Sus scrofa: one gene and its partners. The protein of the gene in region 3 interacts with the protein of the main gene of each other region in a pairwise test. Links are inferred from orthologs where the notes say so. Each region holds a gene or a part of one and is shown on either strand. Other genes may lie near its edges.

Region 1 (3,500 bases), on a different chromosome or scaffold from region 3:
CCAGAACTGCCTAAAGTTACGGAAGGTGCGTAACACCTCTTCATTTTATTCTATTCCGTGTATTTTTATTACTTGCCATTATTATATACTGTTGGTTGCATATTTTATGAAGTTGTGTGCAGGGAAAATTTTATTACTTCACAATCCATAAGGTAATAAAAAATAATGATAGTATTCATGACTCACTTCCAAAGGACTGTTTTATGGAGGTGAAAATACTTGTGAGGCAGTTATGATCATTTAAAATATTTGTTTAACTACTTACTTGGGTAAGGAGCTGAACAGAACGACCTGGGCTTTCCCTGCCCCAGCGGCTCAGAGGCTGTCCAGTTCCACACTGCCTCAGAGGATGCTAAGCTTGGTTCTGCTCCCTGAAAAACTTTGATGTGTATGCTGTAATCTGCCTGTGCCACAAGTTTTAGCCCCTTCCTTTTTTTTTTCCTGGGACATTATGTAAATCTGCTGAATTACCATTCTTAAGAGTAAATCATTCTTTACTTTGAATTAAGTGGTTTTTGTACTAGGACAAATTAATGTATGGCAAGTCATGCTGATTGTAAATATTCATTTTCATGTGAAGTCATGAATATTTAAAACATCCAGAGTTTGTGATTTAAATCGTGGCCCATGAGTTAATGAAAATCAGTAACTTTATGTCAAGGTTTATTTAGGTATAGAATTAGTTTTTTCACTTTACCTCTCTTCACCTCAAAATTTATATAAAATCTCACATGCTGTTTGTATTTTCTCAAAAAGTTGAACTGAAGCATTAATGATTCAGAAAGCATCTCCAGATTTGACCTCTTGGTCTTTTGTTGTGAAGCAGGAAGACCATTTATATTTTTGCAATTTCACACAGCCACTTTGTTGTTGCGCTTCTTACAGTACAGCTATGGAAAGTTTCTACTAGCTTATCTTGAGAAATTTTATTAATGCTTGCAAAATATTTTTAAACAAAGAAAAGGAAAATTCCATTAGTATTTTCAGTGCTCAAAATGTGAATCATAGATGCATTTTTAATTTCAATTGAAAATTATTGGGGAAAAAAACCAAAACATAGCAAAAGACAAAAAGAATAAAAAGAACAGAAGAAAATTTTACCTGGGAAAAAAGAAAAGCAAATTGTTTTTCCTGTGTCCTGACTTCATAATCATTTTGTTAGAGCGACGGCCACCTCAGGTAGGAAAAGGGGGGTTAGGATCGCTTCCCCATGTTTTCTTCTTTCTGGTTCTATATTTGTTTGGCAGTTTAATTATGTTTTTGGAAATTGTGACTAAGGCCTATTTTAACCCATCTGTAAACTAGACTGCATGCTTTTTATTTGTTATAATAAACATTAACATATGGGTTCTTCCTAAAAAATTTTTTTCATATGTTTTGAATCATTCGTTCCTATTTTTCAGCCACTAAATGTGACCTGTGCTTATAACTGACCTTTCCTACAAGAACTATTCTGTCATCCTTCCTACTTTTTTACTACTGCATTTTTAATTTTTACCTTTCTTAAGAATCTGTTCCGAGCGGAGAAAATCAGAGTGTGACAGGAGGCGATGAAGAAGCAGTGGATGAGTACCAAGAGTTAAATGCAAGAGAGGAGCAAGATATTGAAATAATGATGGGAGGCTGTGAGTGTGCAATTTCTAATGCCGAGGCCTTTGCAGAAAAGCTGTCCAGAGAGCTGCAGGTGCTAGATGGGGTAAGCCCTTCCCGGAGTCTGAGATGGGTGCTGCATGGCTGGTGGAGGGGACCGGTGACGTTCAGATGTTACTGTGGCAGCTCGTGAGCCTGGCTGACTTTGCTGTCTTTCTCTGAAGGTGTATTCCCAGGTGCCATCAGTCTTGCACTGTTCTTGTTCAATAGACAGAACCACTCCTTTTGGGCCACTGAAGGCAGTTGGCTGAGGTTCTGGATTTGGGGAGTTTTCGTGATATGAAGTAGTAGAAGTAAGAAGTAGCTAGCCTGAAACTGACTTGGGGGTTGATTCCCCAGCCTCTGGAATGCCTCAGGGTGGTTTAGTGCAAAACAGTATTTTGTGATTTAGGAAAAAAAACAAAAACAAAAACAAAAAAAACAGGTACAAGCTAGAAAGAGAGAAATTGGGCTGAAAGCAGTGAATCATTTTTTTTACCCAAAGAGAGCAGAACAGTGTGGTGAAAACAGGGGAGCAGTAGGGAGGATGCTTGACTTCTCTGCTGAAAAGTTTGGAATAGCTCCTCTTCAGTTGTAGGCACATCTCTAGGAAATAAAAAGCTATAGTAGCAGCAGTACTTTGTGAGAAAAGTCTAAAACAAGAACATTTGGGGTTTGTTTTGTTTTGTTTAGATAAGTTTTGCATTTAAGAAAACCTCTGAAGATAATCTGAGAAAAAGAATGTATATATATGTATGTATATGTATATGTATGTATATATATATGTATGACCGGCTCTCTATACAGCAGAAATTGGCCCAACACTGTAAACCAACTATATTGTAATAAATTTTTTTTTAAAAAAGAAAACCCCTTAGAGAATAAGGAATATTTTAAAGACTTAAAGAAATTTGACATTTTATACATGAAAGCATGTAAAAGTTAGGAGGTTAAACTCAGGCTCAGAGGTTACACGAATAACCCAAGCTTACAAGTTTATAAAACTCTCTGGAAGCAAAGCCTAGAAGAAGCTTCAAGATATGAAGATGGAAATGGTCCATTCGGGCCCCCGCATGGCCACTTACGATGCCAGCAGCTCTGAGCCCTGCTGACTTTACAGTTGGGCTGCACCTACAGTTGAGTCACTGTGAATAGTATGCAGAATAACATGTGTAGAATTACCGTTATTAATTTAGGATGATATCCCTTTAATTCTTGTCCAGACTTTTTCTTCATATCATGTTATCTGCCTTCTTTTTTTTTTTTTTTTTTTTGCTATTTCTTGGGCCGCTCCCGCGGCACATGGAGGTTCCCAGGCTAAGGGTCTAATCGGAGCTGTAGCCACCAGACTACGCCAGAGCCACAGCAATGCGGTATCTGAGCCACATCTGCAGCAACCTACACCACAGCTCACGGCAACGCCGGATCGTTAGCCCACTGAGCAAGGGCAGGGACCGAACCCGAAACCTCATGGTTCTTAGTCGGATTCGTTAACCACTGCACCACGACGGGAACTCCTATCTGCCTTCTTAATGTGGCTTAGTGGTTTGTATTTTCTTTTCTAGTTAATATTGCATATATGTTCCAAGCCATCATATTGCTTTGCAGTTTAATTTTTTATTTGAAAGCTTCCATATTTCAGGGAATTCAGAATCAATAGTCAGAATCATTTAGAAGACATTAACAAGGGTTTGTTACTGCTTCGCCTAGGAGAAGTAGTCTCAAATGAAAGAAAAGAAAGAGTAGCCTAGAAGGAGCCATCTCGGGGCCTTAGGCTCCTCTACATCCCTATGCTGCAAATCCTACTAGAGTCATAAATGAGCTCCATGCATCCTTCAGAGGCAGGTGTACTCCTGCTCCCCTCGTGACGG
Region 2 (3,500 bases), on a different chromosome or scaffold from region 3:
CCTGCATAGTGTTCCATTATGTGGATCCCTGCTCTGGGCATTCCCGTGGTCTGTAATCTTTTGCTATTGCACGTGGCACTACAGTGGATAAGCTTAGATGTACCTGTGTAGGTGTTTGTGTAGATTAGATTCCTAGAAGCAGGATGAGTACTTGTCTCAATCATTAGTGTTGCCGTATTTATCTCCATAAAGGCCGCACTGTTCTCTGTTCCCAGTAGCAGTGGGCAGGAGGGTCTTTTCCCCAGAGTATGTCGTCAGACTGTGGGATTTTTGCCAGTTTGGTAGGTGAAAAATGGTATGGCAAAGATAGTTACAATTTTTATTTTCTTTATTAGTGAGGGTGAACCTTCTCTCATATGTTTAACCATCATATGAATTCATTTTTCTATGAATTGTTTATATCTGTTGCCACTTTTCCCCACTGGATTGTTTATTTATTTATTTTTGTCTTTTTTGCCATTTCTTGGGCTGCTCCCGCGGCATATGGAGGTTCCCAGGCTAGGGGTCGAATCGGAGCTGTAGCCACCGGCCTACACCAGAGACACAGCAACTTGGGATCCAAGCCGCATTTGCAACCTACACCACAGCTCACGGCAACACCAGATCCTTAACCCACTGAGTGAGGCCAGGGATGGAACCCGCAACCTCAGGGTTCCTAGTCGGATTCGTTAACCACTGAGCCACGACGGGAACTCCGCCCCCACTGGATTGTTGATTTTTTTCTTTCCCCTCCTTGTTTCTAGGAACTGCAAATACATGGCTCTTTGTGATATTTGTTTAAATACTTTTTCCCTGCTGTCATTTGTCTTTATTTATAGTGTGTTATACCATACAGAAGTTTTAAAACTTCTTATGGAGTCTAATTTATCAATTTTTTCTTTTTTCTGGCTTTGGATTTTGAGTGATAATTAAAAAGGCCTTCCGGAGTTCCCATTGTGGCGCAGTGGTTAACGAATCCGACTAGGAACCATGAGGTTGCGGGTTCGGTCCCTGCCCTTGCTCAGTGGGTTAACGATCCGGCGTTGCCGTGAGCTGTGGTGTAAGTCACAGACGTGGCTTGGATCCTGCGTTGCTGTGGCTCTGGCGTAGGCTGGCAGCTATAGCTCCGATTCGACCCCTAGCCTGGGAACCTCCATATGCCGCGGGAGCAGCCCAAGAAATGACAAAAAGACAAAAAAAAAAAAAAAAGGCCTTCCCTCCTTCTAGGTAATAAGGGGATCTCAATACCCATGTTTTCCTCAAGTACTTGAGGGTCTTATTTTTTACACTGAATCTTTGACGCATTCGGAGTGTATCATGTATAGTTATTGAAGCCTCTTGGTACCTCTTGACATATTACTTTTCAGATGTGTTTTTTTTTTAATTTTTTTTACATACTGATTTTTATTTTCATAATATGGTTTACAGTGTTCTGTCAGTTTTCTACTATACAGCATGGTGACCCAGTCACTCAGATGTGTTTTATACTTGGGTAGATTATGAACAAGAGCTCCTGTCCCTTACCCTTGCTGGTGCTTGTATTACAGTTTTCCACAGGAGTGTTGCCAAGTGTTCTGCTTTCTGCTTGGTCTCCTCACCTGTAAAATGGGACTATCTGCTCTGATTGTTTAAAAACAAAATGAAAAATGAAAAATGGAAGAAGTGAAAGCAGCAAAGAAGAAAAGTATTGCATAAGGAGTTATTTGTCCTTTAAGAGTGCCTTGCACATAGTATGATAATTATGGGCCCTCAATAAATACTCCATTGATGATAGGCAAAGTACCCATGTACGGAAATATATTCTTTGGCAAATTTTATTTGTCTTAAAACTATTCTTGGATGGAGTTCCCGTCGTGGCAGAGTGGTTAACGAATCCGACTAGGAACCATGAGGTTACGGGTTCGATCCCTGGCCTTGCTCAGTGGGTTAAGGATCCGGCATTGCCGTGAGTTGTGGTGTGGGTCGCAGATGCGGCTCAGATTCTGCATTGCTATGGCTCTGGCGTAGGCTGGCAGCTATAGCTCTGATTTGACCCCTAGCCTGGGAACCTCCATATGCCGTGGGAGCAGCTCAAGAAAAGGCAAAAAGACAAAAAAAAAAAAAAGCTATTCTTGGAGTTCCCATCATAGTGCAGCAGAAGCAAATCTGACTAGTATCTGTGAGGATGTGGGTTCAATCCCTGGCCTCGCTCAGTGGGTTAAGAATCTGGCGTTGCCATGAACTGTGGTGTAGGTCGCAGATGCAGCTCAGATCTAGCATTGCTGTGGCTGTGCTGTAGGCCAGCAGCTGCAACTCTGATTAGACCCTTAGCCTGGGAACCTCTGTATGCCTCAGGCAGCCCTGAAAAGCAAAACAAAACAAAACAAAAAAACCCTCCCCAAGACAAAACTATTACTAATTATGCTGTTTATTTCCTCAGTTCGTAGAAGACTATGAACCCACCAAAGCGGACAGTTACAGAAAGAAAGTGGTTCTTGATGGCGAGGAAGTCCAGATAGATATTCTGGACACGGCTGGCCAGGAGGACTACGCAGCCATTCGAGACAACTACTTCCGAAGTGGGGAGGGTTTCCTCCTCGTGTTCTCAATCACAGAGCATGAATCCTTTACAGCAACTGCCGAATTCAGGTACGTTTGGAATGAAATAGCCTTCAGGAGGCCCTTTGCCTGCCTTCCTTTTTTTTTTTTGTTTGGTTTTTTTTGGCCACCCACAGCATGTGAAAGTTCCTGGGTCAGGGGTTGAAACCATGTCACAGTAGCAACCTATGCCACTGCAGTGATACCACCAGATCCTTAACCCACTGCGCCACAAGGGAACTCCTGGCCTTCCTTTCATGTCTTAGACTTGGAAGGAATTTGGGGCTGAGTATAATGGTCCAGGGTTGAGCTTGTTAGGAAGAAATCTGTCTAAAGAATTTTCTGGGGCGTTTTGAATCATGGTTCATTATAGTTCATCATTTGTTATAATCTCTTGAGGCTTCATAGTTTGTTTTTTTAGCCATGCCCACGGCATGCAGAGGTTCCTGGGCCAGGGATCGAGCCCTGGGCCATAGTAGGACCTGAGCCACAGCAGTAACATCACCAGGTCCTTAACCACCAGGGCATCAGGGAACTCTGAGCTTTCTGGTTTTATAATTTCCAAATATAAATGGTCTTAAGACTCTTCTTGTCCCTGAAGAGGACAAAGCCATTGCTTGTACACAAGAACCTGTCATTGTTTTCATAGACATCCTGAGAGAGAGATTGACGAGAGTTAACTGTTTTTATATTTTTCCTAATTTTGCTAGAGGAGTAACAGTTCTGCTCTACTTTAAGGCTTCTGAAACCTCAAATGTCAGGCGAGTGAAAGTTGTGGGTCAGAGTGCCCGTTTGCGGCTCCTTTGGAGACATTTGCATGGAGAGAGCCCTGCTTTAGATGACACAGACCTGGGTTTCAGTCCCTGCCCTGCCGCAGTGTCAGGACCCTTGGCAGCTTTACTTAGCATTCTATTGATGTGTCTGAAAATGCTCTTATCGGCTGG
Region 3 (4,195 bases):
ATTGCTCCAGCCCCAAAAGACCCTTCCTTTCTCTGAATTCCTAAGGGCTGCCGCCCAGCTCTCGCTGTTCTTTAGTGGAAGAAGCAAAAATACCCTCTTCTCAGTCAGGCTTGTGCTCCAACTGGGAGATACAAAAGTGACTAAGACTAATCCCGTTCGGGCAAGAGTTTAGTCTTCTTGACCTACACGTAAATGCCAACAATATCTACGGCCCCTAAGACAACGCAAGGATAGGACAGTACTAAGTGGTTCCAGGATTCACTGAGTCAGAAAATTTCAAAGCAGGAAGAACTCGGAGATAATCTAGTTTTAGGTATTCTCTGACAACAGATATAAGGAAACTAAAGCCCGAAGACGCTACCAAGTAGAACAGCCCATGCTACAAAGCAGGGCTGGTAACAGCCCACTATATGGTGCTTTGACTCAGCTGAATTCTAAGGATGCCTGTGGGTGTGGCCACAGCTGCAAGATGCATAATTTCTCTACGACGACTCTAAATTTGTGTTTGCATCAATAATTCTTTTAAACCAACATGAGCATGCACTGAATCACGGGGACTGTAACTGAACACTCCACCATGTGATCTCACCAGGGAATCCAAGAACACACTCCCAGGGTCTGGGAACAATCAATGCACCGCACACTGCTCAGCAGAGCCATCCTTAGTTCCCATTCTGGTCAATTTCAAAATCCTCTCTATTCGGAGTTCCTGCCAGGCTCAGTGGTTAATGAATCCGACTAGGAACCAAGGTTGCAGGTTCAATCCCTGGCCTTGCTCAATGGGTTAAAGATCCGGTGTTGCCGTGACCTGTTGTGTAGGTCGAAGACACGGCTCGGACCCCGCATCGCTGTGGCTCTGGCATAGTATGGGGGCTACAGCTCTGATTAGACCCCTAGCCTGGGAAGCTCCACATGCCACGGGAGCCGCCCTAGAAAAAGCAAAAAGACCAAAAAAAAAAAAAAAAAAAAAAATTCCTCTCTACTCAACAGGGCCCTGAAACTCATCCATTCAGTATAACATTTAAGCTCCACTCTGTGACAACACAAGGATAGGGCAGTACTAAGTGGTTCCAGGATTCACTGAGTCAGAAAATTTCAATCTGGCCAGGAATTCTGGCCAGGTAAGATGAGTAAACTGGAGAATGGATGAAAAAGTCCTGGAGAGACTAACTGTACGAGCATTTCCTACCCAGCCTAAGGATGCCACTGCCCTGACACTAGAAATTGTCCCAAATCCTTTCTTAAAAGACCGCCTGTGCCACGTTTCAGTACTAATTTCATTTCTCATCAGATTCATATATCCAGCTCTCAAATATTTGTGGAATGAATGAAAATTTAACTTTGGAGGTGAATAATCATCTTTAGAGAAGTATCATTTTCAAAATAATATTCAGTTCAGGAAATTAAGTACCTGAAAAGAAGAAAAAGTCACTTTCTGAAACTTCCAAGAGTTGTTCCAAGTTACATTGGGGGATCCGCTGTTTAAAATTACAGAGTTTCTACTTAACCAAACAGAAAGAACATTTAAGTACTAAGCCCACATCATCCTCTTTCTATTACCTCCTTTTGAGTCAACAACTTTTAACACAAATGTTCCTTGGGAAGCTTTTGGCTTCCAGTTCCTGTGTCGTTACACAAAGCCTGGCCAGAGTATAATCAAAATATTATTGTGCATTGGAAGAGGGGTCCACATGACCTCAACTAAAACTAGCTTTCACTATAGAGCACCCGAATGACTTAATTTAAATGTGGTTTTTACAATACTTTTTAAGTTTTCCTTGTAAGTTTACTCATTTTTTTAAACAAGTGACACACGTCTTCTTCAGCGACTAAGAAACGCTTTAGCGATTAAGAAAAGCTTCCTTCCATTCAGACAAGCTCTTTCGCGAACTGTTCCTTGCCCTTCTGGGCAGGCCCAGGCTGGAAGGAGAAAGAGAGCACAGGTTCGGATGCTCTCACTACGCTGCCTCCGCCGCTGCTAAACAATGAGTAACTGCCCGGCTTCACACTAGTTCCGTAACCACCCTGATCTAACGCTTCCTCGCCAGTGAAATGGGCACAACACAATCAATCTGTAAAAACAGTGACGGCACCCGGGAGAGCTCTCCAGTGGTGCAACCTAAGAAACAAGCAAAGCCTGCCTCTTCCTCGCTCTTCACCCGTAAATTCTCAAGCCTTGCGCAGTGACAGGTAAGGACGCAAGCAGGGCCAAGTGCAACCTCCCGCTGCGGGCCGGCACTCCCAAGGCCCACGCCGGGCTTCCAGGCAGGGCTCCGCGACGCCCGCAGGCGCCCCTCCGCACCGTAAGGGCTGCAGAGCGGCGCGAGGCCGACGGCGGTGGCTAGCCCTCCCGCCTGCACCCCCGGCGGGCCCTCAGCCAGGACCTCGGCCCCCACACCTACCTGCAGACAGGCAGGCACGGACCCAGCGCTCAAGCAGGAGACCCCGGGCCGAGGCCGCCCAGCCTTCAGCGCCCTCACTTCCGCCGCCGGAGCGCCGAAGGCGTCGATCCGCCGCGCAGTCGAGCGCCGAACGCCGGATGGCCGCGGTTTGGGGGCTGGATGGGGGCGGGAGTTGGGAGACCGGCGGGAGCGAAGGACCCGGCCGCGACTCCGACCCTCTGGAGCCCCGGGCTGACACTCGGGGACCGTGGCCTCGCGGCCCCCTGAGCGTGGGCACCGTTCGGGTTCAGCCGGCAGGCACCGCGGGGCGTTGGCCTCGAACACAGAAAGGCGCCCGTCCAGACCCAGCCAGAGGGAACGGGTTGCCTGACAGCGGACGGCCCCCCGCGGCCCGGCCGGAAGTGACGCGCCTCCCGGGGAAGCGGCGGAAGCGGAAGGGCCTGCGGTTTTCCGGCCTTTGGGTTGAGGGGGAAGAGCCGCGCGCCCGGTGTTCCGGAGTGAGCGGTGGCGAGCCCTGGCGGTGGCTGCTCCTGTGCCCCGCCGCTGCTCCTCTCCTCTCGGCTCTGCGCGTTACCCCAGCGCGTAGTCCCAGCGGACACCGGGCCTCGCGAATAGAGTAGCCGAAGGGGCAGCGATGGAGCTGCGCGCTGCGTGCGTCCTCTGGACGCCGAGGCCAAGGTGCTGCCGGTGGACGGTGGCTTCCCTCCCTGCAGTCAGCCAGCCATTGGGTGGCAAGGGAGTTGGCTCAGACCTAGATGCAGATGTGGGTTCGGCTTAGTCTTCCTGGCCTGCAAGGGCTCTGGCAAGCATCACTGCAGTTGCTCACAGTGTCTGATTTATCGTCATGGAATTTCCCCTTTAATCGCCTCGAGCAGGGACCCCCTTGAGAGTGAGTAGGGTTTGACAAAAGAGACAGTAACACAGGAGGCACAGTTTCTGCCCCAACATCACACACTCAGAAGCTGCCACCCTGGTAGAACATTAGAACGGCCTCAAAGGCACAGCTGTGGCTCTGGCTTGGGGTAACATTTTGCAGGGTTGCTATGCTGTTCTATGGGATGCAGGAGGTATTTTGAACCTTATAGCGTGTGATGCTTTGTCTGAAGTAGAACCCTGACACCTGCGGCAGCAAATGATGCTCTGCCAGGGGACAAAATGTTCCACTAAATCTAAAGACTCTTCTCATTCAGGAGGCAAGAATGACCTTTATAACCAGGAGGAAGTAGGGACAGGAAGGATTACTTCTGGGCACTCACTGGGCAGCTTTCCGTGCCTGGTGATATCAGCAACCTTGGCCTGATGGGGGCATGGCAACCAGGGGCTCAGACCCAAGAGGGACAAAAGTCTGGTCACATCATCAAGCAAGCAGTCTGGGTCAGCAAAAGTGCTGGTGGAAGGTGAGGGAGCCCAGAGGGAGTGACAGGAAGATGCTGAGGATCTCTATGGGCCCAAGACCAACTGCAGAGGAGCCCATAGCTCAGCCCATCACCACTCCTGATGTGGGTGTGACATCGGCATGAGGAGCCAGCGAGAGGGCCAGAGAACACAACAGCAGGGCCCACCAGAGCCCACCCACACCTGTCCTGCTCTCTGAAAGCTGCTTTCTGGGAAACCTGCTCCCTGTGCCTCGGGGCTTCCTTCCTGGACGCATGGTAACCCCAAAGCACCCGAGGGCTCCCTGGCTCAGAAGCAGGCTTCTGAGCAGAAGAGGGGCAGGGAGGTGGTGTAGAACTCCAGCTGCCTGGCTCCCCGTGGCTGTGAGGCATGGTACCCAGCGTGCCCAGAGGCTGGGC

What was found. The genes of interacting proteins can lie anywhere in the genome.
Region 1: the proteins of EXOC2 (region 3) and EXOC1 interact in binary tests that used the Homo sapiens proteins (3 or more experiments, as listed by UniProt). The link is inferred for Sus scrofa from reciprocal best matches to the Homo sapiens genes EXOC2 and EXOC1.
Region 2: the proteins of EXOC2 (region 3) and RALB interact in a two-hybrid assay, tested with the Homo sapiens proteins (2 studies listed by BioGRID). The link is inferred for Sus scrofa from reciprocal best matches to the Homo sapiens genes EXOC2 and RALB.

Annotation. Positions count from the first base shown.
Region 1 is NC_010450.4:55,206,391-55,209,890, forward strand, and holds part of EXOC1 (exocyst complex component 1), read left to right. Parts: intron 1-4; coding exon 5-25; intron 26-1,508; coding exon 1,509-1,696; intron 1,697-3,500.
Region 2 is NC_010457.5:31,073,438-31,076,937, reverse strand, and holds part of RALB (ras-related protein Ral-B), read left to right. Parts: intron 1-2,398; coding exon 2,399-2,607; intron 2,608-3,500. UniProt on the Homo sapiens protein: Multifunctional GTPase involved in a variety of cellular processes including gene expression, cell migration, cell proliferation, oncogenic transformation and membrane trafficking.
Region 3 is NC_010449.5:338,652-342,846, forward strand, and holds the start of EXOC2 (exocyst complex component 2), read right to left. Parts: upstream 2,801-4,195; 5' UTR 2,403-2,800; intron 1-2,402. UniProt on the Homo sapiens protein: Component of the exocyst complex involved in the docking of exocytic vesicles with fusion sites on the plasma membrane.